2 linked regions of the Stegostoma tigrinum genome follow. The protein of the gene in region 1 interacts with the protein of each later gene in a pairwise test. Links are inferred from orthologs where the notes say so. Each region holds a gene or a part of one and is shown on either strand. Other genes may lie near its edges. The genes, in order: cfap206 and transcription factor SOX-30-like.

What was found.
Region 2: the proteins of cfap206 (region 1) and transcription factor SOX-30-like interact in binary tests that used the Homo sapiens proteins (3 or more experiments, as listed by UniProt). The two-hybrid records come from large-scale screens. The link is inferred for Stegostoma tigrinum from reciprocal best matches to the Homo sapiens genes CFAP206 and SOX30.

What each region holds. Positions count from the first base shown.
Region 1 is NC_081357.1:39,376,923-39,392,871, forward strand, and holds the start of cfap206 (cilia- and flagella-associated protein 206), read left to right. Parts: upstream 1-8,703; 5' UTR 8,704-9,050; intron 9,051-9,157; 5' UTR 9,158-9,158; coding exon 9,159-9,266; intron 9,267-15,949. UniProt on the Homo sapiens protein: Essential for sperm motility and is involved in the regulation of the beating frequency of motile cilia on the epithelial cells of the respiratory tract. Required for the establishment of radial spokes in sperm flagella.
Region 2 is NC_081366.1:70,474,052-70,490,018, reverse strand, and holds the start of transcription factor SOX-30-like, read right to left. Parts: upstream 8,943-15,967; coding exon 8,886-8,942; intron 7,061-8,885; coding exon 6,643-7,060; intron 4,193-6,642; coding exon 3,953-4,192; intron 1,888-3,952; coding exon 1,699-1,887; intron 1-1,698. UniProt on the Homo sapiens protein: Acts both as a transcriptional activator and a repressor. Binds to the DNA sequence 5'-ACAAT-3' and shows a preference for guanine residues surrounding this core motif. Binds to its own promoter and activates its own transcription.

The sequences.
Region 1 (15,949 bases):
TCTGGATAAAGTATTTTTAAAGCTTTCTTTTATTAATCATAAATGCAATAATGATTTAATCCCAATGAAATAAGATCTGTACTTCTTTACAGCAGGTGACTTTACTCTTGTCTTGTATCTAGGTGGTGTTATGAACAGGAAAAATAAAGTTTTCATCTTGTCCTTGTTTGCTAGGGGAGATACAAATGTTGATGTTCCAGTGCTTGAAGGTTAAGGTTGGAAGTTTATTACTGGAAGCTTTGTTCCCACTATGTATTGTGGACGAGGAAAAGAATGTTGCTGCATCCTAACGGTACTGCACATTTGAACACTGACCTCAGTGGGAAGGAGGATGTGGTTAAAACGTTAATCCCCTCCAAATGTTAATGTTGTACTTGTGGATGAGGGTGAGAGGGCAGGGGAAGATGCTGAATTTGGAACTGTTGACATTATCTATGTTAACGGAAGAGATGGAAGCAGAAGAAAATTAAATATTTTAACCAAATTTGGACTGCCATCTGAACGTTGCTGGAACACTACAATGCAAGCTACTCATCTGCCTTCTTGAAAGGGCAAAGGAGCAACTTGATATTAACTGAGCTAAATATCTTTAGTAATTTGTAAGAAATATTTAGTGATTAAGAAGAAAATGTATGTTTTGAACAATCTATCTCTACATGGGAATGAACTTGAGCTGTTCTGTGTAGTAAATAATTTTTAAAAACATGAATACACAGACAATTGTCCATTCAAATTGGTCCCAGATTTTGAATAGTATGACAAACAATTTTAAAATATTTTCTGCATTGATTATATATCCTTGCCTGGGATACAATCACTGGTTAATTTAGGAGCATTGAGATAGTGCCATGAATTCAGTTCTGTGCAAAAGAATGGCTCTCTTTTAGAGGCCAGTCGTAAGTGAAAACACTTTTTCTAAAAAAAAATTAAAGTTTTTTATTGATTTTTAAGATCAGGGATGATACCATCACAGGGCCTTTTCTGGGACATTGATTTCATAACATGTTTTATCTCGTATAAATTGCCTTGAAACTTTGTACTGTAATTCTTTGTAACTTTACCTTAATCTACTAGCTGCTTCTAAGAGAAACACCCCTTAGGCAATTTTAGGAATGTATTTTATGTGCCATTGAAAGGATGAAATTAATACTCCTTTGAAAACAATTACAAACAGCAATGTGACTGTTACAATGACCATAATTTTGGGAAATGCTTTTTATTACAATTCTTGTTGCAGCATTTCAATTTTGTTTGCTTTTATGTCAGTATTGCATTTAAATCCTGTTAAATGTGAATCAAATTTGCCAAGAGATCTACTTGAAATGGAACTGTTGAATCACCAGTGTTGGAAACAGGTTTACGTTTTGTTAAATTCCAGTCTGTTATCAACATGGTAACTCTGAAGGAAATGCAATCACTGGGAACTAGTTCTTTGCCAATCACGTCTATATGTTTATATTTTTAAATGTAATAGTTTGATGTATTGCTTTCAGCAAAGATGGCACATTTTTCTGACTGGCTTAAATGATTTTAGTCATCTTTTTAGTGCAGAACCTGAGTACTGCCGAACAGAGCAACATGTTAGGAATATAAGAAGTAAAACATTTGGCCCCTCAAGGCTAACTTGCCATTCTAAGATCATTCCCCGTGTCTCAACTCCATTTAAATAGCAGCTTCTCAGAGCTGTCAACTCTGATATTTCAAAAATGTATCTACTTCCTCTATAAATAATTTGTGATGCAGCCTCCACAACATTGTAGTATGGAGAGTGATAATGGGAACTGCAGATGCTGGAGAATCCAAGATATTGAAATGTGAGGCTGGATGAACACAGCAGGCCCAGCAGCATCTCAGGAGCACAAAAGCTGACGTTTCGGGCCTAGACCCTTCATCAGAGAGGGGGATGGGGTGAGGGTTCTGGAATAAACAGGGAGAGAGGGGGAGGCAGACCAAAGATGGAGACAAAAGAAGATAGGTGGAGAGGAGAGTATAGGTGGGGAGGTAGGGAGGGGATAGGTCAGTCCAGGGAAGACGGACAGGTCAAGGAGGTGGGATGAGGTTAGTAGGTAGGAGATGGAGGTGCGGCTTGGGGTGGGAGTAAGGGATGGGTGAGAGGAAGAACAGGTTAGGGAGGCAGAGACAGGTTGGACTGGTTTTGGGATGCTGTGGGTGGAGGGGAAGAGCTGGGCTGGTTGTCTGGTGCAGTGGGGGGAGGGGACGAACTGGGCTGGTTTTGGGATGCGGTGGGGGAAGAGGAGATGGAGAGTTCCAGGCATTCACTACAGCCCCCTGCGAGAAGAAAAACCTTCACATCTCAATTTTAAATGAGTGTTCCCTTATTCTATAAATGTTACTCCTAGTTCAAACTTCCTATGCTTGCAGAAATGATTTCTATCTTCCCTTTCAATTTCCCACAGAATCTTGCTTATTTCATTTAAGATCATCTCTCATTCTACTAAGTGCTAATGAATAAAAACCTAACCTATTTCACTGATCTTGATAAGTCAACTCCGACCTCACAGGAATCAGCCTAGTCAGCCTCTTTTGAACACTCTCCAATTCCAGTTCTTAAATGCAGGAAGCAAAATTGTGCACCTTCTTCTGGATGCAGTCACACCAATGCCCTATACATTTGTAACAAGACTTCCCTGTTCATAAACTCCAACCCTCTAGCAATGGAGACCTAAATCCCATTTGCTGCACCTGCATGGTTTTTTTGTGTATCATGCACAAAACAGCCATTCTGCACTTTTTTTGGAATGTTTCACCATTTAAGATGCCTTTTGATTCTTCTTGCCCAAGTGCAAGTCTTCACACTTTGCAAAGCTTTTCATCTTGCACTCAGCAGGCCAACTGTAAAAATAACACATTTTAAACAATCATAGTCATTTATGTGACAGGAGAAAAGGGTGCTGATTAGTTGGCAAACTGGATCAACTTACCTATTTCTCCTGCAATTTGAATTGTTGAGATTGCTTGAAATTTAGCCTTCTCATATTTGTCCCAATGAATGCAAGACAAAAGCTTTGGTAATATGTTACTCTTTTGAAGCAATATCTTTCCTGTTCAGTTGACCACACTAATGTGCTCAAATATTTGACTGATAGTATTACTATGAACAAATCCAGTCGCTTTAGTTACTGATTCCCTGGGAATCGGGAACAAAGAACTGCTACAAAATACACAATTATATTCCTCAACTATCCTTTCTCATTCAGGTCTGTATGTGTGGCTAAAGCAATTTGATGAGATGCTGAAATTGAGTAGATTGTCATTAAAGGAACATACACAAGAGCCATGTAAAATCAGTAGGTCTCTTTAAGGCGAAGGTGGAACAGACAATCTGATGAAAGGGAAAATACACGCAAGTTAAAAAATTGGTAACTATCTAATTTAGCCAGAGAAATGAATTATGTAAGGAGATTTTAGTTGTTCAGGAAAATAGTACTGGAGATGAACCTCTCTAATATATTCTGTCATTGTAAGTCAGTATATCCTTCAATTTACCGTAAGCAAAGTCAGCAGTAGCAAGGTCCACCAGTACCTACTATAAATACACACACAGATGTGATCTGCAGGGAAGAATAACTACCATTATCATTCATTTGTAGAAATCAACATCTTTTTCTATTTGTGTTTATCACAATTTCATAAGTCACAGTAGTGTTGATGGTTTTAATTCTTGAGATAATATACTGTTACATTTTTGTGCAAATAATCAAACATATCACTGGTGAGCAAAGCATAATGAGCAGGACCTTTTGTATTTTTGTCCTCTTAAAATTGTAAAATATTAGATTGTACCACAATCTGAAATAAGACTGAAGTATTGTACAATGCACAATTTTATCTTTTGTTCTAAATAAAAGTATTTTTTAAATTAAACATTGCTTTTAGTGATACCTGTGTGGACTCATTGTTGCAATATTCTTGTTTAACTGGGCAATGTTTATAAAGTTTTCTTAAAATATTATCCCTTCCACCAATATAAAACTCAGGAAAATGATGATTAGATGTTGTTGATGGTCAATTGCCTCCCACTTGTGTGGAATGCATGTTACTCCCCACTTATCAGTCCAAGTCTTGCTGTACATGGACACCTTCAGCTGGATTGTCTAAGGAGTCATAATTACGTTGAATATTGTGCAGTCATCAGCAAATGTTCCCACTTCTTACCTTTAAGATGGAGGACATAGAAGAAGCAACTGAAGATGGTTGAGCTTTGCACAGTACCTTAAGAAACCCTGGACAGATGTCTGAGACTGAGATGATTTGCCCCATCAAATACTGCCATCTTTGTTTATATGGGCTATGAATCCAACTGTTGAAGAGTTTTACCCTGATTCTTAGTAAATTAACTATTGTTGATGACATACTTGGTAAAATTCTGCCTCAGTATCAATAGCAGTCACTCTAACTTGATCCATGTTTGCACCAAGACTACAGTAAGATCAGCAGTGGCCTTGATGCAACTCAAACGGAGGATCTGAGAGCAGATTATTTCTGTGTAAATGCCACTTTGTAGCACTTTCAATACATCCTCCATCACTTTGAGAGTAGACTGGTGAGTTGTTAACTGGATGGGATGGATTTGATCTATTTTTTGAGGACAAGACATAGTTAGATATTTCAGGAGGATGCCAAGGTGGATCAAACTCCAAAGGCATCTCTTATTTGTACGAGACTACATTGACATACATTTGAAGAACCAGGAAAGTATGATAAACTGAACAGGCCCCCAATTAACTTTGGCAGAAAGACCTTAGTCAGTGGTCTTTCTCCACTGTACCTTGGTAGCCAGTGCCCCAAGCTTTAGTGCATCCCTCAGCATGCAAACCTGGACCTTGGAATGTATCAGCGTGCAACACATGGTCGAGGTCAACTCCTTCTCTGGAAGACCAGCAACTTTCAGGCAGACCAAAGAGAGCCTTTCACTGCATTGATGGTCCTCTAGGCGCAGTCAATGTTTGTTTTTGTGTGCATCTTGGGGAACAGACCGTAGAGCACAGAATCCTGTCATGGAGCTGCTCAGGATAAACCTCAATCAAAAACCATGGCATCTTCCTTTGCAAAGGTACATTTCAGGAGGTGTGTGACAGTGACTAAACTGTCTGTCCCACAGCAACCTCGAGGGCAGCATGCAGTGGTGCACAGAGTCTGGGCGTACATGAAGGATCTCATAGGTAGTACCCTTCTCACCACCAGCCAAGCATTGTCATGGTGCATGTTGGAGAGTTCTGGTGATGAGACATTCTGTGAAATGACTTTAATAGTCTTCTCAGGAAACAACCTGACAGGATCCATCCCCTCCTTTTCCTGCAGGGTCTCAAAAATGCCATGTGTTGACCACTTCCTGATGGATATCCACAAACGTCCACTTGCTCCACCACTGACGCTCAATAACAGCAGTGTATACCATGTATTATATGTAGTGTATAAATGCAGCTCAGAAATTCACCAGGATCCTTCGAGTCATGGTCCAAACTCATAGTCATTACCACCTAGAAGGCCAAAGCAGCTGATACATGGGAAGACCACCATTTGCAAGTTCCCCTCCAAGCCATTCACCAACTTGACTTAGATATATGTCACTGTTCTCTCACTGTTGCTGGGTCAAAATCCTGGAACTCCCTCCCTAACAGCATTGTGAGTCTAAATACAGAACATGCACTGCAGCAGTTCAAGAAAGTTGCTCACAATCATCTTCTAAAAAGGAAATTAGGGATGGGCAATAAATGCTGGCCCATCCAGCAATGCCCATTTGGCACAAATAAACTAAAGATAGCACTTCTGCAGCTAATCCTGTTTGGGTAAGAAAAATTGAGCATCCAGGTCAGTGCACTCTGTAAACTAGCTTCACTCAGCCACTGGGAAGGTTTATCTGCTTCAAAAAGTCTCCTGTTCACTGATCCATCTGCATCCCTTTATATTTGCAAGCTAGATTTTTCACATCTTCCATTAAGTCAGCTCTGTCACAGGTATGAACTCCAGGCAGAATATTTCTTCCAATTAACCAACTTTGAAAGAGGGCAGGCAGTTTAGCCCACTGCAGACTGGTTTCTTATTTTGTTGCTATCAGCTGGATGACCATCGTGGGCACTTGGCCTCTGGCTCTCTGGAGATCTATCTAGTGGTGTCTAGTCGGAGCCAAGTGCGGCTAAACCGAAACAGAAATAGAGATTCCAAGATAATAAAATGTGAGGCTGGATGAACACAGCAGGCCAAACAGCATCTCAGGAGCACAAAAGCTGACGTTTCGGGCCTAGACCCTTCATCAGAGAGGGGGATGGGGGGAGGGAACTGGAATAAATAGGGAGAGAGGGGGAGGCGGACCGAAGATGGAGAGTAAAGAAGATAGGTGGAGAGGGTGTAGGTGGGGAGGTAGGGAGGGGATAGGTCAGTCCAGGGAAGACGGACAGGTCAAGGAGGTGGGATGAGGTTAGTAGGTAGCTGGGGGTGCGGCTTGGGGTGGGAGGAAGGGATGGGTGAGAGGAAGAACCGGTTAGGGAGGCAGAGACAGGTTGGACTGGTTTAGGGATGCAGTGGGTGGGGGGGAAGAGCTGGGCTGGTTGTGTGGTGCAGTGGGGGGAGGGGATGAACTGGGCTGGTTTAGGGATGCAGTGGGGGAAGGGGAGATTTTGAAACTGGTGAAGTCCACATTGATACCATATGGCTGCAGGGTTCCCAGGCGGAATATGAGTTGCTGTTCCTGCAACCTTCGGGTGGCATCATTGTGGCAGTGCAGGAGGCCCATGATGGACATGTCATCAAGAGAATGGGAGGGGGAGTGGAAATGGTTTGCGACTGGGAGGTGCAGTTGTTTGTTGCGAACTGAGCGGAGGTGTTCTGCAAAGCGGTCCCCAAGCCTCCGCTTGGTTTCCCCAATGTAGAGAAAGCCGCACCGGGTACAGTGGATACAGTATACCACATTGGCAGATGTGCAGGTGAACCTCTGCTTAATGTGGAATGTCATCTTGGGGCCTGGGATGGGGGTGAGGGAGGAGGTGTGGGGACAAGTGTAGCATTTCCTGCGGTTGCAGGGGAAGGTGCCGGGTGTGGTGGGGTTGGAGGGCAGTGTGGAGCGAACAAGGGAGTCACGGAGAGAGTGGTCTCTCCGGAAAGCAGACAGGGGTGGGGATGGAAAAATGTCTTGGGTGGTGGGGTCGGATTGTAAATGGCGGAAGTGTCGGAGGATAATGCGTTGTATCCGGAGGTTGGTAGGGTGGTGTGTGAGAACGAGGGGGATCCTCTTGGGGCGGTTGTGGCGGGGGCGGGGTGTGAGGGATGTGTCGCGGGAAATGCGGGAGACGCGGTCAAGGGCGTTCTCAATCACCGTGGGGGGGAAGTTGCGGTCCTTAAAGAACTTGGACATCTGGGATGTGCGGGAGTGGAATGTCTTATCGTGGGAGCAGATGCGGCGGAGGCGGAGGAATTGGGAATAGGGGATGGAATTTTTGCAGGAGGGTGGGTGGGAGGAGGTGTATTCTAGGTAGCTGTGGGAGTCGGTGGGCTTGAAATGGACATCAGTTACAAGCTGGTTGCCTGAGATGGAGACTGAGAGGTCCAGGAAGGTGAGGGATGTGCTGGAGATGGCCCAGGTGAACTGAAGGTTGGGGTGGAAGGTGTTGGTGAAGTGGATGAACTGTTCGAGCTCCTCTGGGGAGCAAGAGGCGGCGCCGATACAGTCATCAATGTACCGGAGGAAGAGGTGGGGTTTGGGGCCTGTGTAGGTGCACCCTAGACATTTTTCCATCCCCACCCCTGTCTGCTTTCCAGAGAGACCACTCTCTCCGTGACTCCCTTGTTCGCTCCACACTGCCCTCCAACCCCACCACACCCGGCACCTTCCCCTGCAACCGCAGGAAATGCTACACTTGTCCCCACACCTCCTCCCTCACCCCCATCCCAGGCCCCAAGATGACATTCCACATTAAGCAGAGGTTCACCTGCACATCTGCCAATGTGGTATACTGCATCCACTGTACCCGGTGCGGCTTTCTCTACATTGGGGAAACCAAGCGGAGGCTTGGGGACCGCTTTGCAGAACACCTCCGCTCAGTTCGCAACAAACAACTGCACCTCCCAGTCGCAAACCATTTCCACTCCCCCTCCCATTCTCTTGATGACATGTCCATCATGGGCCTCCTGCACTGCCACAATGATGCCACCCGAAGGTTGCAGGAACAGCAACTCATATTCCGCCTGGGAACCCTGCAGCCATATGGTATCAATGTGGACTTCACCAGTTTCAAAATCTCCCCTTCCCCCACTGCATGCCTAAACCAGCCCAGTTCATCCCCTCCCCCCACTGCACCACACAACCAGCCCAGCTCTTCCCCCCCACCCACTGCATCCCAAAACCAGTCCAACCTGTCTCTGCCTCCCTAACCGGTTCTCCCTCTCACCCATCCCTTCCTCCCACCCCAAGCCGCACCCCCAGCTACCTACTAACCTCATCCCACCTCCTTGACCTGTCCGTCTTCCCTGGACTGACCTATCCCCTCCCTACCTCCCCACCTACACCCTCTCCACCTATCTTCTTTACTCTCCATCTTCGGTCCGCCTCCCCCTCTCTCCCTATTTATTCCAGTTCCCTCCCCCCATCCCCCTCTCTGATGAAGGGTCTAGGCCCGAAACGTCAGCTTTTGTGCTCCTGAGATGCTGTTTGGCCTGCTGTGTTCATCCAGCCTCACATTTTATTATCTTGGAATCTCCAGCATCTGCAGTTCCCATTATCTCAGAAATAGAGATTGCTGGAAAAGCTCAGCAGGTCTGGCAGCATCCGTGCAGAGAAATCCGAGTCAACGTTTTGCAGCTATGCTGAAAACACAATGCAACATCTTTCATCGAATATCGCCACCGTGACCACGTGCGTAAGAACGTCAGGGGATTGACGTCAACCAATCAGGCTGGTCGGTTGATGTCTGTCTCCAGGGTAACGGGATCGTTACACGAAACAACAGGAGGAGGGAAACGGAGAGTAACATCCACCCAGGAAAGGATCAAGAGCTCGGAACTTTGTCAGCTGAATGTGACCGTTTGTAAAGCAGGTTGTGAAGGGCTGATCTGAACAAACTGCTGTTAATGTGTGTCCTCCTCTTGATGTTTCCATTATCTAAATCCTCACGTCTTTTTTCCCCCTGTTTGAAACCTGCAGGATGGCTTACACCCAGGCTGAATGTGTGATTAAGAATATCATTCGGGAAATAGCCCAGGAGTGCGCTGATAGAGGACACTCCATTTCTGAGACTCTTGTAGCGTTCATGGTGAGTGCAGTAAGATTGGTACTCTGATGAGTTATTTGCGTTTTACTGAAGTGAATACGTTCTTCATTACAGCAATTGTTACTTACCGTTTGGGACAGGAGCATTGGGAAAAAAATCGAACTTCATAATCCAGAAAAAACGTAACTATGCTATTGCAAGAGATAATGGGAACTGCAGATGCTGGAGAATCCAGGATAACAAAGTGTGGAGCTGGATGAACACAGCAGGCCAAGCGGCATCTCAGGAGCACAAAAGCTGACGTTTCGGGCCTAGACCCTTCATCAGAAAAGGGGGATGGGGAGAGGATTCTGAAATAAATAGGGAGAGGGGGGAGGCAGATAGAAGATGGATTATGGAGAAGATAGGTGGAGAGGAGAGTATGGGTGGGGAGGTAGGGTGGGGATGAAGGGTCTAGGCCTGAAACGTCAGCTTTTGTGCTCCCAAGATGCTGCTTGGCCTGCTGTGTTCATCCAGCTTCACACTTTGCTATCTATGCTATCGCAAGCCTGGTGAGGAGCGCATACTCTGATATTCTGTAGAACACATGAATTTTCAAACTGGGCAGTCCCAGTCCCCAACGAAGCACCACACTGGGCTCACAGTCTGCCTCGATCGATGTTGTCCTCACTACCTTCCCATTGATTAAGGACGAGCAGTACAGATCACAATATTGTACAAGTATCTCACCTCATCTCGTCTTCAACCAGAAAGGTGCACAGCTTGCAAAGTCTTGGTGTGCAGTCCGGTATACTGCAGAAACAGCCAGAGCTGAGTAAGCTGTGCATAGTGTATGAATCTGGAGTATAAAATGAGTACTGTATTTACATGAATTACATCAGAGGCTACTCTAATATTTCAGCCAAAGTATACAAAGATATTTGTTCATTCATCCCCCTTTCCTTTACAAGAAAAACTTTTATATGCTCCATAAATTGCAGGTTACTCAACATACATAATCTATCGTGAATAATCTCTTGCATCAAGAAATATCTACATGTTCTTTCAATTTCACCTGCCCCTACACATGTATTTCATGCATAATGTTCAGTTTTTCTAATTATATGCACCGGATTCTTTGTTGTCTGTTCGTCTGGTGTCTCCTGGTTCCTGGATTGACATTGCTTTTCTGAGTCATGCTGTCGCAATACTCTGTTGTGTGGTGCTATTTGTTGCTGCTGATCTGTTGCTTTTATTGGGAAATATTTGACTTCTGGGATTGATGATTGTTCAGTTCCTTGTTTGCAAAATTAAACCTGCCTTACCAGCAGTCTGCTGTGAATGAGAGTTTCTCCGGTTTCATGTATACGCCTACGGTTGCGATGCTACCTCTTGCTGTTCACTTTCACTATGTATAATCTAGGCAATAACTAATAATTTGTGATCTTTATAAATGACTTGGTTGAGGAAGTGGAGGATTGGCTTAGTAAGTTTGTTGATGACAGGAAGCTTGGTGGAGTTGTGGACAGCATGGATGGCTGTTGTAGGTTGCAACGGGACATTGACAGGATGCAGAGCTGGGCAAAGAAGTGGCAGATGGAGTTCAACCCGGAAAAGTGTGAAGCGATTCATTTTAGAAGGTCGAATTTGAATGCAGAATACAGGGTTAATGGCAGGATTCTTGGCAGTGTGGAGGAACAAAGGGATCTCGGGGTCCACGTCCATAGATCTCTCAAAGTTGCGACCCAAGTTGATCGGGTTGTAAAGATGGCAAATGGTGTGTTGGCTTTCATTGGCAGGGGAATTGAGTTTGAGAGCCATGAGGTTATGCTGCAGCTCCATAAAACTCTGGTTAGACCACACTTGGAATATTGTATTTAGTTCCGGTCACCTCATTACAGGAAAGATATGGAAGCCTTAGAGAGGGTGCAGAAGAGATTTACCAGGATGCTGCCTGAATTGGAGGGCAGATCTTATGAGGAAAGGTTGAGGGAGCTAGGGCTTTTTTCATTGGAGCGAAGAAGAATGAGAGGTGACTTGATAGAGGTTTACAAGAGGATGAGAGGCATAGATAGAGTAGATAGCCAGAGAATTTTTCCCAGGGTGGAAATGACTGTTACGAGGGGGCATAATTTTAAGGCGATTGGAGGTAGGCATAAGGGAGATGTCAGAGGTAGGTTCTTTACACAGAGAGTGGTGAGTGTGTGGAATATGCTACCAGCAGTGGTAGTGGAGTCTGTTACTTTAGAGACTTCTAAGCGACTCTTGGATAGGCACATGGAGGATAGTAAAATGTAGGGTATGTAGGGTAGATTGATCTCAGTCAGATAATAGATAGGCATAACATCATGGCTGAAGGGCCTGTATGTGCTGTACTGTTCTATGTTCTATAACTGCTTTATACAGGTCCCCAAATTGTTAAGTGGGCTGAAACATGTTGAGAGTGTTAAATGTTGGTACTCTGACTAGCTCAGATCTGGCAGTAATTTGGCTGCGTTTTCAAATTGGAATTTGGCGTTCTGCCATTTCACATTGATCTTGTCACTCAATTCTGTTACTAGGAATTGGTTCAGTAGATTTTTGTTTTTGAAAAGTCGTGTAGGTGCAGAGTGATATTAGTCACTGGGTTGGACTACTTTCCTTGCCTCAAGGAGTTGTGTTTCTCTAGTCCTATTATTTTGCTTGTGTTCATTTTATTAGTTCCTGTCCATGAATAGCATTAGTTTCTTTAGCATGCTAACATCTTCATCTATTGTAAATATACTCTTGTAAAGTAATTATTCAATAGGTCTGCCATTACATTATTTTCAGCAACGATTTCATTGTTATCAGCTTTCAAGGGGCTCAAAGTGGCCCTGACTCCCTCTTTTTCTAATAGCATTAGTAGCAAGAATTTGATTTATCCCTTGCTGATAAGATTGCCTTGTTCACTCCAATGCTGAATTTCATCATTTTAGATGATGCTGTTGTCAATTTTCACTGCTGTCTCAACCTTTCGATTGGACTTAGGAAGGTACATGGGGATGTGATGGCATAGTGTAATTAGCAAGGCAGATTTTTAATTGAATTTGAATTCAATAAAAATCTGGAAATAATAGTCCACTGATGGCCATGAAATCATTGCCAATTGTCTAGAAAAACCCATCTCATTCAATTATGACCTTTAGGGAAGGAAACAGTCACCCTTACCTGATAGAGGCATAGGCTGTTTTCTAAATGGGGAGAAAATTCAGACATCTGAGGTACAAAGTCCAGGATTCTGTTCAGATAACCTTGCAGGTTGATTCAGTAGTTAGGAAGGCAATTGCAACTTCGACATTTAGTTTGAGAGGCCTTGGCTATAAAAGCAGGGATGTACTTCTGAGGCCATATAAAGCTCTGGTCAGACCACATTTAGAGGATTATGAGCAATTTTGGGCCCAATACCTCAGGAAGGATGTACTGGCCCTGGAGCAGGTTTAAAGGAGGGTCACGAGAATGATCCCAGGAATGAAAGTCTTAATATATGAGGATCATTTGAAGACTCTGGGACCATACCCGATGGAATTTAAAAGAATGAGGAGCAGATCGAATTGAAACTTACAGAATACTGAATGGTCTGGACAGAGTGGATGTTGGGAGGATTTTCCATTGGTAGGAGAGACTAGGATCCAAGGGCAAAGCTTTAGAGCAAAGAGAAGACCCTTTAGAACAGAGATGAAGAGAAATTTCTTCAGCTAGAGAGTGGTGAACCTATGGATTTCGTTGCCACAGAAGGCTGCAGAGGTCAGGTCATTGAGCACATTTAAGATAGAGATAGATATATTCTTGATTGTCAAGGGGATCAAATGTTATGAGGAGAAAACAGGAGACTAAGATTGAGAAATTATCAGCATGATTGAACGATGGAGCAGACTCAATGGGCTGAATGGCCTAATTTCTGCTCCTTTGTCTTAGTCTTTTGTGGCCAACATGTGACTCCAGGTCCACAATGGCCCACAGCAATGTGATTGACTTTTAATTGTTCTCGGGGCAATTAAGGATGGGCAATAAATGCTAGTCTAGCCAGTAATGTCCTCATCCCATGAATGAATAAAAAAAATGATGTGTAGTGCAGAATCTCCTAACTATTCATGAATACAGATAACCTCATAAACATTATGTGTTTTCAAGAAGGAGGTATATATGACTGTTGTGGCTAAAGGGCTCAAGGGATTTGAGAAGAGAGGGGTCAAGATATTGAGCTCAATGATCCATCCCAATCATGTTGAGTAGTGGAGCAGGCTCGAGGGGCTCAATGGTCTACTCCTGCTTCTATCTTCTATGTTTCTATGAGGGCTGATGTTGTTTGAAATTTCAGAGTTTCAGGAAGGCCATAATGTCGGAAGTGTGCTTTCAGGCTTTCTATAGTCTGACTGGTGATCATTGAGGTCAACTGCTCAGCAATCTGAATCGTCATTTGTGATGAAATATTCTGTTCCTGAAACAACAAAATAATCTATGACAAGCTTCATCCAGGGGAAGTTCTCTAGTTTGCTCAGCTTGATATTTGTTACAAGTGCTACACTGGCTGTTATGGTTGTTAATCTCATTGTTTATGTTTGACTATTTGAGCGCTCTCTTGCCTTCCTCAAGATGGACTCAGTTCCTTGATGGCTTGCCTGGATGTGTTTCATGTATCCTGCCTCATCTCTTGTTTCTTTGTGTGTTGTTTCTTGGCCATTTTGGGTTATCACCTTATCTCTGTGTATCCAATACTCTTTTATAGCAACCTTGATGGTTTCAGAACATCTCTTCATTGCAACATCCTATAGCACTTGAAGAGTTGCATCTCCTTATGTAGTTTGTTTGATGTGAGAAAGACCCTTGTGTGTCAGGTTCAATGGGCTACATGTCATGCAAAAACCTATTCAGCCCCTGAGTGAAGAGGATGAGGCTGTCAACTCAAAAGCCAACTGTCCCACAGCAGTAATGTGCTTGGAGCAATCTTCACTGATTTAGAGTGGGTCTTTCACTCCCATCTTCCACTCCAAAATATACCTGGCCCTTTTCTGCAGTGGGAAGTATTTTACCAGCAAAAGCAACAGATTGGTCCATACTTTTCCTTGCCCCAGTCTGAACAATTATTTAGTTTTCATATTACTAGGGCAAAATCTTTAAATGTTTAGACTTCACTCACCCACTGCACCATACCTGAATGGGTAAGTAGATATTTTCTAATCTGCCTTTTTTTGTGCCTTTTATCAATGTCGGACAGTCAGGTTCATGCATTCTTAAACACCAATTAACCTGTTCAAAATATGACTTGTGAAAAGTTGTGTTCACACATCACCATTAAATACAATAGCTATCACTAGATTTTAACAAAGTGCTGGGGAAACTAATGGAACTAAAAACGGTTAAGTCTCCTGGATCTGAAGAGATGTGTCCTAGGTTTCAAAAGAAATAGCTGGGGATATAGTCAATGCTCTGTTATCTTGGAAAAATGTCACAGGATTAGAAAACGGCCACTGTAGCACCTTTGTTTATAAAGGGATGAAGACAAAAAGCAGGTAAATTTTGGCCAGTGAGCTTAATGTATGTTATGGGGAAAACATTGGAATAGTCTATAAAGGATGTAATCGTAGAACATTTAGGAATGTGTATCACAATCAAGCATGGCTTCATACAGGGGAAATTATATCTTACAAATTTCTTCAAATTTTTTGAGGGTGTGACAAGGAGGACAGATAAAGGGGAAGCAGTGGATGTAATATATATATATGAATTTTCAAAAGGCATTTGCAAAGATAACACTATTTGAAAAGATAAGGTAAATGATATTTAACAAGAAAAGAGACCATTGTGTTGGAAGAAATGTATTAGCACAGAGACTGGCTAACCAAAAAAAGACAGGCGTTGAGATAAAGGAGACATTTTCAGTGTGGCAACACTGAATTTGCAATATATATTAATAACTGGATAATGAAGGTAAACATGCTACAGGCAAGTCTGCAGATGATGTAAAAATAATTGGGAAGGCAAGTGGTGAGGATGAATCTGCAGAGCCATAACAAGTGTCTGCAGAGGGATATAGAGATGTCAAGCAAGTGGACAAAAGCTCGGAAGATAGAGTGTAATGTGGAAATATTTTCAGAAATTTTATACATTTTGGTAGCAGGAATACAGGAGCTGACTCTTATAGAGTCACAGAGATATTCAGCATGGAAACAGACTCTTTGGTCCAAATTGTCCATGTCAGCCAGATATCCTATATAAATTTAGTCCCATTTGCCTACATTTGGCCCATATACGTATAAAAACACTTCCAATTCATATACCCATCCAAATGTCTTTTAAATGTTGTAATTGTACCAGCCTCCATCACTTCCTCTGGCAGCTCATTCTATACACACACCACCATCTGTATGAAAAAGTTGCCCCTTGGGTCCCTTTTATATCTTTCCCCTCTCACCTTCAACCTATGTCCTCTAGTTTTGGAATCTGTCAGCTCAGGGAAAAGACCTTGCCTATTTACCCCATCCATGCCGTTCATGATTTCATAACCTCTATAACATCCCCCTCAGTTTCCAACGCTCCAGGGAAAATAGCCTGAGCCTAGCCAGCCTGTCCCTATAGCTCAAACACTCCAAGTCTGGCAGCATTTTCATAAATCTTTTCTGAACCCTTTCAAGTTTCACAACATTCTTCCGATAGGAGGGAAACCAGAATTGCATGCAGTATTCCAAAAGTGGCCTCACCAATGTCCTGGAAAGCTGCAACATGAC
Region 2 (15,967 bases), on another chromosome or scaffold:
TATGACGAGTATGTGACGTCATCAAATTTAGTTTTATATCATCTAGAATCTCAGAACTTGACTCCTTCTCAATGTTCTCTCTCATTTTCCTTGATTGTGCTTAACCCGATTATGCACTAAGTAGTCCCTTTAAGACTTCTGTTTGGCCATGCATTGTGCGTTATAATGGAACAGTGCCAATTTGTTTCTTGCATGACACATTCCAGATTCCTGTGTGGTCTTGCATATGTGCAGTACAAAGGGAGCACTGCCCTGACATTGGCCACTATGGTTATCTGATCCAACTGCCTTTGCAAAGGTTGCCTGGAAAATGGGTCCCATGTGTGATATCTGTCCCGCTCTCCTCTTGCAGCAAGATCTCCAAATGGGAAGAGAAAGTGGCTCATACATTCTGCTTGGTCGTAGCTTAATCAGTTTTCCTCAGAGTAACCAGTGGAGGCAATCAAGGAACTGGTAATTTCTTGATTTTTAACGTACCTTAGTTTGAAGCCAAGACAAGAGCTCTCTCCTCTTTTCCTGTCCAAAACAGTTCTGCAGGTTGCTGCTAACTCATGCTTGTTCTTCTTCTGCTCACCTCCTTTGCTCCCATCTCTGGGCTGGGTCCAGCCAAATTTTCTGTTCCTTGATCAGCAAAGGGTGTCAGGTCACCAGGGTAGTGACTGCAGCTTTTTGGTTTTGAGTAGAAGAGATCTGAGATTCAATTTACAGCCAGACTCTGGTCTTCTTCTACAGGCAGATGTTGCAGCTATGAGACCAATTTTATTTTGAATGGGGAGGAAGACAGGGTTACAGTCAGATGAGAGGAGGAATGGGAAGTGATAATAATAGAGTAGGAACAGGGAGAGGATAGAGAGACAGGAGGAGAAGGAGAAGAATGGGAAAGGGTAAATGGGACACAGAAAGGAAAGAAGTGAAGAAAGGGGACAGGGAGAGGGTAAGTGGGAAAGAAGAGGAACAGAAATTGAAATTATTAAATAAATAAATCATATGCAAATATAAAGCATTGTAGGGCCAATAAAGACAAGAGAGCAAGGGGAGTTAATGGAGAGTTGAGGAGCTCTTTAGACATCAATAGAAATTATGATGAATTATGTTGGCCTCAGTCATAACGCTGGGTTGGAGATGGGCATTGAGTGGTTAGGCTGGGTGGAAGTGGAGAAAAGTAAAAGTGGAAAGGGGACTATGAGAAATGGGTGAAGAAGTGAAGAATCTACCTCAGAGAAAGAAAGGTAGCAAGTTACCTGTTTCGACCTTAATATGGTGATTGGAAAAAGTAAATAATTTTTGTTCAAGGGTAGGGTGCAGACGGTCATTTATTTCTTTTCTCAAACATTGCCTTGATGAAGGTTTATTTTCTGTGAGCATATAGCCACACCGTCTTTGTGCCTTTTAAATTCCATACTTTATTTTCTCATCAGTGTAAATATGGTTACCATTGCTGTGTCCACATTGTGGCTTTACGTGCTGTCCCTTTACTGTGATTCTCTCTGACCAAGGAACGGCTTTTGCAATCATGAAGATACATTAAAAGGCTACTATGTAACATATGGTATCATGTCACTATCGTGAAAATTCTTTATTATGCTTTTAGTGCCATCTACTCATACCATTAGAATCTGCAGCTTAATCATCATTTTACAAAATAGATATGTTGAACTACACTGTTTAATATCAACAATTATAAATTTCACAACTTACCAATAACTGATGGACGGTTGACATTTGTTTGTAAATTCGGAATAACTACCGAATAGGTGGCAGGCCGATAAGGGTAAATGGTTGCTGGAGTTGTCGAAACAATATTTTGACCACTGCCAGGAAAAACATTTGAAGGAACGCCCAGTGCAAATCGTTTCTTTTTCCCTGGTCGTGGCTGGTACACCCATCCTAAGGGGAAAAGTTAATGTAGTAAATTATAACACGAAATTTTCATGAATTCAAACGTTAAAGTGTACAAATTTTAAAATAAGCATCATTAATGCATCAACCATCAGAAGGCTTCTGAAGAAATTACCTTTGATACCATACCATGCAATGACAACAGCCCTTACAATGAAACTCGAGCTGCGCTACATGGCCTTAAATGTTACCGATTTCAGAGGAGAAGCAGCACAATGACCCTACTGAGTTACTGAGTGTTAGCTAGGTTTAGCTGGTTGAATGCTAGATTGGGGTTCTTAAGATTTTAAACCTAAGCGTCAGTAGGGTCATTGTGCTGCTTCTCCTCTGAAATCGGTAACATTTAAGGCCATGTAGCACAGCTCGAGTTTCATTGTAAGGGCTGTTGTCATTGCATGGTATGGTATCGAAAGTAATTTCTTCAGAAGCCTTCTTATGGTTGGCAACAAAGTGGAGTTCAGTATTATTTAATGTAAGAATCTTAGTCCAAATAAGATGAACCTCTTTGCTTCTGATTTCTAAAGGAACATTTTCATTTTTTCACACAATGCTGCTCTTTCTTTTTGCCAGGTATTTTTGCACGGTGTGATTTAAAACAATGAATCCATTTTGATCTGGGCCATTCAAATTATCCTTCTGGAATAATGATCTTACAATTTTCCTATAACACGTTTTTAATATCCACAGGGAAAGGTTGACAGGAGCTCCCTTTAATGTTTCATCAGAGGGTGGCTTACAACAAGAATGTACATGTGTATAGCACCTTTAACACAATGAACTTTCTTAAGGTGCCAGAACTGGGAAGCACTTCCTCAAAACTGGGCTGCAACTTCAGCCTCAGATGTAGGTACAAAGATTGATTCATAGTTCAAACCTCTAACCTTTAAGTACCAATGCATTGTTTCCTGTGCCAGGACATCAGAGGGAACCCGACAGTCTCTTGGATAACAAAGTGTAGAGCTGGATGAACACAGCAGGCCTAGGGTCTAGGCTGCAAAAGTCATCTTTCTTGCTCATCTGATGTTGCTTGGCCTGCTATGTTCACCCAGCTCTACACCTTGTAACCTCAGATTCTCCAGCATCTGCAGTTTCTGCTATCTCCGATAGTCTCTTTCACAGTATTTATGGTGAAGCAAAGGATCCATGTTTTCTCACTCAAAAGTGAATTTACTGAGAAAATTTTTTAACACAAAAAAATACAGACACTTAAAAGTGGCAAAAGTATAGTAGAGATAATGCTAAATGATGATACCACCTGGAAAATTATTGAGATTCTTCACTGCATTATGACAGTTGAATTTCTCTAAGTAATAGAAGTTCGTAAGTTTCTAACAATATTTTTACATAGACATTAGAGGAATATTTTCATGAAAAATATGACTCATAAATTTGCTTTCTGTTTCAGTGTTAACTTTTCAAGTTGAATTTTAACACTAAAAATGGGTGGAATAGAGTTGTATAAGATACAGTTGTGTAAGAAAATATAACAAATTGATACATCTATTTCCAGTTTCAACTGAGCCAGGACAAAAAACAGGTGGCAGATCTGATTCCAGGAGGTGAAGAGGCAAATTAAATTACATTAAAGCTGGCAGACCTTGCAATCCTGGTAGCGAAAGGAAGATAGGAACATGATGCAGAAAAGTGCATTTATAGCACATCTTGTGGGTCAGGAAGAGCAGAATGCTTCCCCCAACCCTGGGTCCATCAATTTCCCTTCTCTCCCATAGAAAGGTCCATAGAATTGGGATTTGGATTACTTCCTTGAAGCAGACCATCTCCACTGTATTCTGAGCATTGGGAGCCAGACCTAAAGTTTTTATTCTGAGAGCCTATTGCTGTGTTCAACCCACAAGGCGTGAAAGGCAAACCTGTCAATAAGTGACTTCTGAGTCAGGAATCTGTTAAGCATAAAAGATGCAAGCTTTGGTGTTTCAAAAACTATACTCCCACTCGTCCCACAACTGTCTAATCCTCCCCTGTTATTATCCAAGACTTCATCTTTACTTCACGTTAAAAAAAATCTACGTATTCTAACTAGCTTTTAACTCACCAGGAAATTCTTCCCTGTGTTTCTCTTTTATTTTTTGTGCTTCATCATAGTAGGGTTTCTTCTGTTCTTCTGTCAGCTTGTTCCACTCCAGGCCAAGTTGGACACTAATTTCAGCATTATTCGCATTGGGGTTTGCCTTGGCTAATGATGGTCTGTGAATTCGAGCCCAAACCATAAATGCATTCATTGGCCGTTTTATATGCCCACTTCTGTCTTTGGAGGGTGGCATATCATTGATTTCTAAAGCCAGAACAAAGGGAGTAACTGTACAGATGGTTGAAAAAAAATCATTGGAGTAATGTAGTATGTTAAAGAGTTTTATTGAAAAAGCCTTAAAAATCCTGAAAGCATTAGATTTTTGTTGTGTGTTGGGTGTACAAAGTTGCAAGCATGCCCAGCCGTGTGAACCTTTCTGGAGAGCGTATTTTTGGTGCTGAGGCTGCTAGGCACAGAGGAGAGGGTATGCTGGGCAGAAGGCCTACTTTGGCATAACATCATTGTATGAAGTTTCAGAAAGAAAGGGAATATTAAGTAGCCCACCAGTCTCACCCCTCATACTTTTTCTCCACAAGCATTCCCCATGCCTCATCCATGCCAACCCCACTCCACATCTCCACGCCACACCACCTTATTCCCATGCCAGCTCATGCCTCTTTGACCACATTCATGGGTCTGATATCCTCCACACCAATTTGTGGCAGTGTACCTGCTCATACATCCCTATGCCAATATTGTGCTAATTAATGCCAACCCATGATCTCCATTTACCATCTGTTGACCTCACATCTAGTATGCCATTTCACCTGGTAGCCACTTTTGACAAATGTCAGCGCCTATGCAGGCATATAGTAAGATAAGTTTCCATAAAGTTCTCAAAGTCTATTGTAGACTTCACTCTAATGAAAAAAAAACACTCTCCTTCATAAAAACCTACTTATTACATTTATATTTCTTCAACAACGTCATATCAGGATGAGTTTAAATCACTGATTAATTTGGATTTGCTGACTATGTGAATCATGGCTCACCCCTTTCCTGTACTAGCAATAATTGGATGTCAGAAATGGGGAGGGGACTTTCCATGCAGGTTATGCATGCCATTTTTACAAATTTGAAGTATTTTCTTGACTCCACAGAAGTCTGGCCCTGCGTGCATCAGTCAAAAATCTTCAAACAGATTGGTTAGAATGCTCCACTATTTTTTTCTGTTTTGCTCATAATTGCACTGCAGAGGCACTAGGTTACAGCACATCTCCACAAAAAATTCTGTCGGCAACTTTCAGTGTGATCAACAGCCAGAGCCGTCCCTTTGTTGCTGGCAGCAAAGTCTGAGCTATTAACTGCAGCCCTGAGAAGCCTTTGTCCACTCAGCAAATTCACAAAGATTGCACTGGTTGACTGTTTAGCCTTCTGCATGATTGTTGTCCTGTCAGGAGAAGGAGGCCCGGTTGTTTCCAAGATAAGATTGACCCTAACAGGAGCTTGGAACTAAGTGAAGCCACTGTAGAAAACTAACCCAGTTTCTGAGATATAGAAGCTGGTAGGATTATAGGGCACTGTTGATGGTTAACCTAACCAGGCTCATAAATAGAAACCCATGTCACTAAGGGTTCAAATTGCTACCATACTTCCAAACTGTATAAATAGTCTTCCTAATGTTTGGACAGTCTATGCTGGATGTTCTGAACTTGAAACCTGCTAACTTTTTAAATTATAGTAGTATCCCAATGTTAAAGAAAGTGGAATATACTCTTGATGAGAGTGCGCGTACTGCACTGCTCAACAGATGGACAGAACTCAATTAGCTTGGTCTGGAATCTCTTAAATATTCTGAGGTGCTCATCTGCATAACAGGTGCTTGGTTAATCAATAAGTGTAATCAATATATGTAAGTGTTGGATTTAGCCAATAAGGTACTAAGTGAACTTGAAAATCTTGGTTTAATTCTGGTCTGTGCAAACAATTGATCACAGATATGGATTAAACGTGGAAGTAGAGTGGCTTCAGAATTTGCATGAGGAAGTTTAGGATAAACCATTTCTGAAAATGCGAAACTGTAGAGTTCGGTGAAAACTTGGTTCTGATTTATCCTAATCATGTATTTCCAACGTTTGCACTTGAAGATTGGCCACTTCAATTAGGTGCTACTGACAGCCTCGGAACAATAACCCAAAAGCAGATTTTGTCTTGAAGAGAGGAATATCAAGAGAACAAGAGGTGGCAGAAAAACTGCTGCAGGAAATATCTGTTAATACATTTAATTAATCAGCCTATAATTTGTTTTAGTTCTCCAAAATGTTAGTGTTCTTCAAACATCCACTCTCTCATGAATATTTACTAAGCTTTCAACATGCATGTGTTACAGCTGTCATCCTGAAAATTAACAGTTTGCTACAATAGGAAAAAAATGCCATTAAAAAGTTCCTCACAATCATCATTGCTCACATATTTTAAAACAATAAGTATCAACTCCTCAACCCAGGACAAGCAGCAACATGCTACTCTCACATTTTGACATTGCAGTACTCCACACAAAATGTGTATGATTTATGAACATTTATGATTAAGATTGTGGCTGGTTAGCAAAATGTTCATTTTGATGTTAAAAATATCCCTCAAGAATACACTGCATTCAAATAAAATTCAAAGAAGACATTATCCATTAACAATAAGGATATACAAAAGGGTACCTGCTTCTGTAGGAGGAACGGTAAGGGGAACATTTATAGTATTTATTTTCAAGGATGGATCCACTTGTGTCTGTAGCCTGATGTCACTCAGATTGTTTGATGCTAGTGGTCCAGATAATTTGGCAAATTTGACCACATCACATGTGGAAGATGATCCTTGAAGTTGAAGTTTGATTCCAGGTGGAAGTGGGTGTAAAGTTATAGGCAGTTTCAAATCACTATGTTGCGTCCCATCAGTCCCATTCAGATCCTTCAAGAACAATAAATCTTTAGTCTGTTGAGTTCCTCTGTTGGAATTAGAAGGTTTATAATGCTCATCATCTTCCAATTTTATCTTTTCATTCACATGTTGGCCAGGAATATTTTGATCACCAAAGTCTTTTCTTGAGTTTAACCCTGAAACAAACTTATTTTCACTCTGAAAAACAAATGTAAAATTATGTCATATTAAAGAGAAAATAAGGAATGCGATAATTAGTTTAATATTTGAGCTCCTTGTTGACTCAATTAATTAAAAGGGTCAACATGTATTGTGAAACGATTCTATAGAAACTAGATATTCTGAGGTTCCATCCTAAATCCACAGAGTGAGAGTTCAAGAAAGCAGTGAGATGTGGAGATTGATATCAAAGCCACAGATCTACAATGAGGAATAAAAAGCCAGAATGCTACCACCCAATCTATTTGGTGACTCCTGACAGAAACAGCACGTGGATGGATGCTTTGTTATGAATGAGATTCAGAATGTGATCCATAGGTGAAATCCTTGTTGAGACACATGATCAATGTTTGCACATGAATTTCATGCCAGCAAAAGCAAAATCTGTAAGAATGTAATTTTTAAATTTGTTTTTGGTAGTTACGGAGTTAAGAAGGCATTATAGAAGAGTATTAAACAGACAATTAATCTCACAAGTAAGGCAACATAAAGACAAATAAAATCATAAAGAAGGTTAGGACATAGCCTAATAAAGCAAGTAATGGCAAGGATCAATATGTGCCACTTTCAACATTACTTGCTGCTTTTGCTTCCATTTATGCGAAGACCACTGTAAAAGAAAATTCAACAGGAAAGATAAAGGCTTTCAAGCTACTGCTTCTCCACCTCCTTGTTCAATGATGCATTAACATCAGTGCGGCTGTCCAGGGATGTTTCTCAAACATGGTATGACTCAAGGGGTTTCCAACGACGGAGGTTCAACTCTGAATGCCTCAATACAGCTAATGTATTCAAGAAATCAAAGTTACAAATTAGGTAAGAGAACAATTTCTAATAATAAATGTGTTTTTTGGGGCTTTTTATTCCCTTTAATTTCATAAATTTCTCAAACCAAAGGCTAATCAAGCAAATAACTATATAATGCTACATCTATCCCTACATTGGGAACTGTGACATGTGGTTATGTTACAGGATTAATAAATACAAAGGCCTGTTCTAACAATTCAGAATCATGAGTTCAAATGCCATCTGGCAACATGGAAACTTAAATGCAGCTAATTACATTTTCATGCATCTTTTAGATTGATTAGTCCAATGTCCTCCTGGCTGATTTCCCACACAGTATCCATCATAAACATGAGATCATCCAAATCTGCAAAAACCTCCAAGTTCCATTCATTTATCACACCTATGTTCACTAATCCTCCAGATTAAGTGAAGTTTTGATTTCAATTCTATTTCCTGTTTCAAATCTCTCAATGGCCTTGTTTTTTCATCGTCTATGCAACCTTCTCCTTCCAACCCTCTGAATATATATGATCATCTAAATCTGCTGCCTAGTCCATTCCCAATTTTAATCATGGCACCAAAGCACCATATAAATATTAATTGCTGAGGTATGAACAGAAAGCTAGCATCAATAACAGTGATAATGATAATGGTGACATTTGGTTCATTAATGTCTTTTGTTTTAAAAAAATCTAATATTCTTACAGTCTTACTTAGTCTGATCTGGAAGTGGCTCAGCAATTTGAATAAATCTTAACTGTTTTTGGAAATTGTCCAGCAAGTCACATAGAGTTGAATTTTACATTGGGTGGAATGCTCTCCCATGGCTCAATTGAGGCTCTTAAGTGGCAATTAATGCTTGACAATAGGCTTCATCTTCCCCATTGGAATGTCAATATAGAGGCAATGGGAGAGGCCTGTGCCCCATGTGTAGCCAAGCAAGTTACACACCGTCTGTCACAAGTCAGTGAAAGGGAAGTGCCTCAGTCTGAGGCCAATTAGAGACCTTTTTTACCTTGCCAGATTTATTCTCCTTTACTGTTCTTTCCAATATGCGCCCCAATGTCCACATCCACACCTTGTAGTAATTAAAGTGTAATTTTCTGAAAAATTAAAGTTGGGTGAGTTCACTAAGTGGAGGTGGACTTGCTCCTAGCATTTAGGACAGTTTTCCTCCAGCATCTAGCCCACCAATTGTCAAGAAAGTGGCCCAGCACCATGTTTTCAAGGGATGGACAAGAAAGGCCAGTTTTGATGCCAACCTTCTGTAAATGAACAAAGTAAATCAATCATCTTTGACAAGTTTGCTTCATTGTGTTGTTTTCACACTAGCTTTGCTGCTATCTGAACAGCTAAGACTTAATTCTGTTCCTACTCAGAAATTTATTCAAATTTTTCTTGAAGCTATTGATCAACACTTTGTCAACAGTCATCAGTTGAGCTTAAGATAGAAAGACAACTATGGTGACCAGCTATGATGGGTTGATGGAACAGTGTATTCAGTGACCGAGTATGCCTGTTATGCTAGTCAAGTTGAGAAATGCCAACATTGGTAACTCTTTTAATTTTGTTCCAACTGTGCCAGCATGGTTGACTTTTATCAACAACTTTTCTGCCTTGTGATCAGAAAATATCTGCTACGTGTTATAGGAGTACTCCTAAGCAACAATTAAATTAATGGTGAGTAAAATCATGCAAGGTGTAAAGTCTGTGTCCATCCTGAGTGAAACTAGTTTGCCTCTGGTGGGTTAGGTCATAATTTGGTCCAATATTGTATGAATTAGCAGAGTAGTCTCTTACATTGTCTGTCTTAAGTAACTGAAAATATTGGTAAATTTCACTATATTCTACCTTGAACAATTTTTTGTTAACGAATGATAATCAACAGGCTTATAGAGCTCCTTGATTTCTCATTATGTAAAGTTTCTGCTTGGTGTTGTACTGTACCAATACAGAACAGAATATAGAGATGTTTTTGTATTGAGTTAACTGATCTTAATTGGGGTGAATCATACTGATCACAATCTCCGTGAGTTAGGGATGGAGATACAAGGAAAAGACCAGAATTCCCAATTTTAAATTTTGAGTGACACTAGCTGGGAAGTACACATACATTGGGCAGAGTCAAAATCAAATCCAATTAGATTTTATTTCCTGGCATGTCTGTCTGTTAAATAGTTTTAAGCACAGATTGTTTTGTACTCATTTGTAAGCAAAATGTTCTGGAGAGCTGATGGTAGCTTTGGAAGAATACTCTTCTATGAATCTCTATCTTCAGAAGAGGAGGGGAGAAAAGGGAAAGAACATGAGAGGTCAAACATAGTACTAGACACACTATACAAATCAACAAAAAAATAGCTGCTGAACCAATGCACATACCATCCTGATTTGGAACTATATCATTGTTCATTCATTGTTACTGGATCAAAATTCTGATGTCTCTTTATCTCACAGACTGCAGTGGTTCTCAAGGGCAGCTCACCACCACCTTCTCAAGGGAAATTAGGAATGGGCAGAAAATGCTGACCCAGCTAGTAAATGCCTTCATCTCATTAATGAAAAGAAGGTGGTCTAGCACTGGGAAAGGGACTGAATATGCTATTCCAGATGCATGTAAGGCTAATTTCAACTTGGATGCATGAAGTACTTCTTAAAATATTGTGCTACACACCATATACAATTCAAAACAACAGGCTTAGTTTTAACAAAACTCATGCACTTGTGCAAAGACTAAACCAGGACTAAAGCTTTACAACATTGACTGGCAGCATCATCAACACGCAGTACAATACAGAAAACCAATGTCAATGAGCACCATAGTTGTGGTTTGGACTGTCGTGATTTGCAAAAGATTATATGCAGTCACTGCCTTACTAATCTAAATTCAATTCAAATCATATCAGTCAGTGTGAATAATTTGTTGAAATATGTCAACTGTTCTGAAGCACTGTGTTTGCCAAGGAGAATTTCTATTTACTCCTGCATCGGGAAGTGGAGAAATAGTGGAGTTCACGAATATAAAAAAAGCCGAAATGTGGAACTTTTTTGGAGGTTATTTTGATATAAAACCTATTGGCATTTGTATTTATACAAATACAGTTATTTATCCACAGATACAACAATAGTTCTAACTCCTTTGCCCTTTATTTTCTTTATTAAGATGAAGAATTGTGTTCAGAGAATATATTTCTGCAGCTTTAACAATGCAAGCCTTTCATCGCTATGCTCAAAAGTCAACTTATCTTATTCTTTTCTCTCCTGGGCAATTGCTGAATTGATTCTATTCATTGAAAATACAGATGTTGCTCCCAGTCAATGTTGTAATGCTTTGGACCTGATTTAACCTTAGCACAAGCACATAGGCTTTGAATAGGTTAAAATTAAGCCCATTGTTTTGAACTGTACATGGCAGCTCTGTGAAGTAAAATCAGAGTTAACATTTTGAGTCTGGTGACTGTTCTGAGGAAGGATGCTGCCAGACCTACTGAGTTTTTCCAGCAACTTCTGTTTTTGTTCTGTGCCATTCTGCCTGATTATGGGTTATCTCTACATATCCTCTGGCTCCCTCACCTTCCTCCAAATCCTCTTAAAATTGCAACTGAATTAGCATCTGTATTAAATATTCCCAGCAAGGTACTGTGATATATGTTGACATATGTAAAAGGAAAAGATTTTTGTTTCTAGTTTCTTTGGAGATAAAAGCATCTGGTCAAGGCTTTCCATTGAATTTTGCTGGTACAAAATGTTTAAACAAAAGGGGGATTCTTTGTAGTAGAGAAAGTAAGATCTTCAATTAACAGTCAATATTCTAAATTTCTAACTTCAAGTCTCAAAAAGTAAAGTAATCATTGTTATTTTCCTTCACTTCATACAGGTAATAATTGATGATAAGTGATACTAAGACAAGATTCTTTTCAGAAATCAAAGTTCTACCCACAACGCCCCCAGCAAAAGTTTTTACAATCTAAGCCATTGATCATTGTGTTTACTTATAGGCACCAAAACTTGATCCATAAGAATGATCTGTCCCATTTTATCCAGCTTTCTTAAAAAGCCACAATATCAAGTATTCATGTATCCAAATGAAATGTATTTACATGATCAAATGAAAAGAAACCCTCAGCTTTGTGAGATATATCTCTACTAATTCTAGAATTGCCATTTTATTCGACTAGATTCCAAAACTTTACAATTTTAATTATTGTTGTCGTACACAATATAGTGTCCTTTACAAGACAAGCTGTAGCAACTAAACAGAGACAAATACTATTGGTCCACGAAGATTTACTTTGTAATTAATTGTGCATGTTCATACGAATGATCAATTCTTGGTATAGCTATTATAGTTTGCAGTTAATATATATTCCAATGTGAATTAAGCAACACCTTGCCTCCTATACTTGTATTAAGGATTCCTTCACTTCCTCATGGTTAATGAAACAAGATGCTGCTGTGATCTTGAATGAATAACTGTAGGTGTCTCCTGGAGCTAATGTGGCTAACTGAATTGTTGAAATCTGAGCATCAAAGCACAATGAGGAGCAGATTATTCAGTTTAAACAAGAGTACCAAGATAAAATCTCTCAAATGGAGGTATCGTCCATAGGATTGATATAGAAGAACGTAATGAACAACTGATGTTGTACTTTCAATGCTCCACCATAATCCGAGAGTATGAAGATAAAAGAATGCAATCCCAATATGCCATAGGATAGCTAAATAGTGAATGTTGTTGCATAGGCTGAAGCACAAATATTGAAACCGTGGACTCCAATTTTTTTTGCATTATCACAAAGGGTGGTTGTCTTAGCAGGTGAACCAAATGATATTGTGAAAATCCAGTAGTTCTCTTCTATATCATGTCAAGGTGTTGCCATTTATATCTCTGCAGAATCAGCTGAAGGTTACCTTCAGGTAAATGTGGGAAACCTTCCAGTGGCACTCTAGCCGATGTGCCACTCATCCTGAAAATGATCCTGTGGAGGGTATCTCCAGTAAAGATTTCTCCCAAAGTCCAACAGATAGGTGCAAATGTAATCTGTAAATAAGAAAGCATGAAATGAGAAAAGGCCCTTCAGGCCATTAATGCTTTTTTTCCCCCAAAATCCTTGTGCAATCCATTCTAGTGCAGGTACCATGATATGTATTTATTTACTTCAGGGAATGTTCTCTGGCAAAATCTCTCCCTGACCTCTATTCACTCAAGGAAAACGTCAAAAAATCCAGTTCTGTCCATACATTGGATACATTTTTTTAATGGAATCTGTCCCACATCCACTGTTCTGTTGGAGAAGGTCCTCTAATTTAGCTTAGTAGTTGCAGGTCCAGTTTTGTGCTCACACTGCCTTTTTACATCTATATTATTCAAACTTAACATTTTGTAGGGCTGTACATGATCAGTCTTCTCCAATTAAAAAAGTTCTGCAACTGCATTCATCCTTGTTACTCTTCTCTGATCTCTTCGTAGTATATCAATTCCATTTGAAGGCAGCACGCCCTACGTGTAAAATGCTAATACTGATCTTAGTCACTCTAAAGTTAAGATAATTCGACTTTCTTATCCTACTGTTAACTGCTCAGCATTGCAGAAAATGTGTAGCAATAACATCCAAGTAGTTCTCTTCTGATAGTTTGTCAATAAAACCAAATTAAATGATTCATTTCACATTCTCTAATGTATATTGTCTCATGTTCAATCACATAAAACTTATTCCATAAGCCATTCAGTTATCTTTTTGAAGTTGCACATCTGTTCTATCTGTTGTGTTATGTCTTATAGTTAGTATACAATATATACTTAAGGCACATGCTCATGATAGGATTGTTGTGTAATGCCATGAGACCTCATGGTATAAAGACCTCACTCTTCATCTTATTGAGGCCCTTTTCAGCATGACATGCTGAGGGAAGTGTGCTACAATTGACATTCAAATTGCTTAGCTGTAGCCCGCCCACACAAGATTGTAGCATATGTAAATACCAGCAGCTGTAACGAAAGGTTATTGAATCATTCAGTATTATGTTATCCATATCTCATTCTTATGTTACAGAGCCTAATATAATTATCACCTCATCAGGTATCTCACTGAACGTAAAAAGCATATCACAAACCATAACAGAACATGAGGACAGAACAGATGTAGGTGAACAGTGGTGGCTGTTCATAGAGAAATGACTCTAATATCACATAATGCAGCATCTTGGTAGTAGCCTGGTGTTGAGCTTCAGTACCCACTTGTAAAAGGATCCAGAATTCTGTCTGCAGTATCTTGGAAACTCCACTGAAGATTACACAGCCCTGGTCTTAAAGCAAAGACTGACAGCAACAAGCTTATGTGAGTACTCATCTGCAAACAGAATACCATGGAGGCAGCCTTATCTTCTTTCTATTTAAAAATCTATCAAGTCATTAGTTCCATAGCGCTTTTACAAGAATGATATCAGCTTGCTTCCTCATTAGAAAATAACATAAGCAGCCTAAATGATTCAATTAAAGTAAGTGGGCACTGTTAACTTAACTATAGAAACCTCTTGGCTGGAAAATTTATTCTGATGTTACAGGAGCCACCAAAAGTAACATTTGATCGGATACAAATACTCTGCTCATGGTATAAAGCTCATCACTAGCTACAAGAGGGCGTAACAGAGCTGGGTTCGCAGCACCGGCCATTTACAAAGAGATGACTTCCAGGTATCACATCATACTGGTAGTTATACTTTCATGAAGATAAGTGAAAGGTCATGTCCATGGTGGAGAGCACTACCAAGGTTGAAAAAAGTAGAATGGTAGATCAGGTAAACCAGAACAAACCACTTTCAAATATATCAAGGAGATAGCCTAGACCCTAACTTTTATCCTATTTAAATGTAAGTATAAGGTGTTGTGTTCCAGATTTAATTTGAATAGGTACACGAAGCTTTAAGCAAAACACGTTATCCTTAACCTATATGGCTAAAGTATAAACAACGAAAGACGAATAAGTGAACCTTTAACTTGAGTGGAAAATTTAACAGAATAATAGGTTTTTAAATTATTAATCAGCAACTGTTCCAATATAATAATATCCCATAGATACACCCTTGGCAAAGGCAAATTCAGAAAAAAAACAGATTTTCTCACATGTAATCCTTCTCCAGTCCGGGAGAAAGGAACATCAAGAGAAAATTCTGGCAGAGAGAAAGAACTCAAGCATTTTTCCATAGCCGGGCGAGATGTATGGCAGTTTCAAAACCCCAACAACTATTGAAAGCTAAACTAAAACCCTGGCTCTGTGGGAGCCTGACTCCATCCATTCAAGCTGTTTCTGTTGTTCCAACGTAAAAACAAACCCAAGCCCTCACAAGCTGTTTACTTTATTGGCTTTGAATAGACAGCCCATCACCAATGGCTCAAAACCTCTCTTAAAAAAAAGAACAAAATACATAAAGATGGCTTCATTTGAAAAAACCTTTAGTCTTATTAATATGCATACATATTATATTGACACTAAGCATGTAAACATTCAATACTATAGTCTATTTCAGTAAGTTTCATCCACAATCGAACACCTTTGTCTTCTGAAATCAACATTACGACAACATGTCAGCAATTATGTTCTCTTGTCCTGCCATGTGTATATTTTTCAAATTAGATGACAGTAACAATAAACTCCACCTGACTAGAAATCCTAAATAGTCTGGTATGTTTATCTTTAAACTTTTTTCAAAAATGTACAATTGTTTTAGATATTACTGGCAACATAAATGTTGAAATGTTGCAACGCCAACACCAAACTCAGGATCTCTTTCTCAGTTTTGGAATATTTCTGTTGATCAATATTTAACTATCTCAAAAAATACCGATACATCTTTATATCTTGTTGTCGTCTTCTCACAAGAGAACAGCACTGAAACCCACATCACTCACATTGATAACCACCTTGAATGGCTTTGTATAATTAGCTGTGGCTAACAGTGGAGCAGCAGTTAACACAGCTTTCAGACTCTCTAATGTCTTTTGACATTCCTCCATCCGCTGAAATTTTCTGCACTTCATCAGCAAGCCAATCAATTGAGCAACCACTCTGCTAAAATTTGGTGTTGATTTTTAATAAAAAC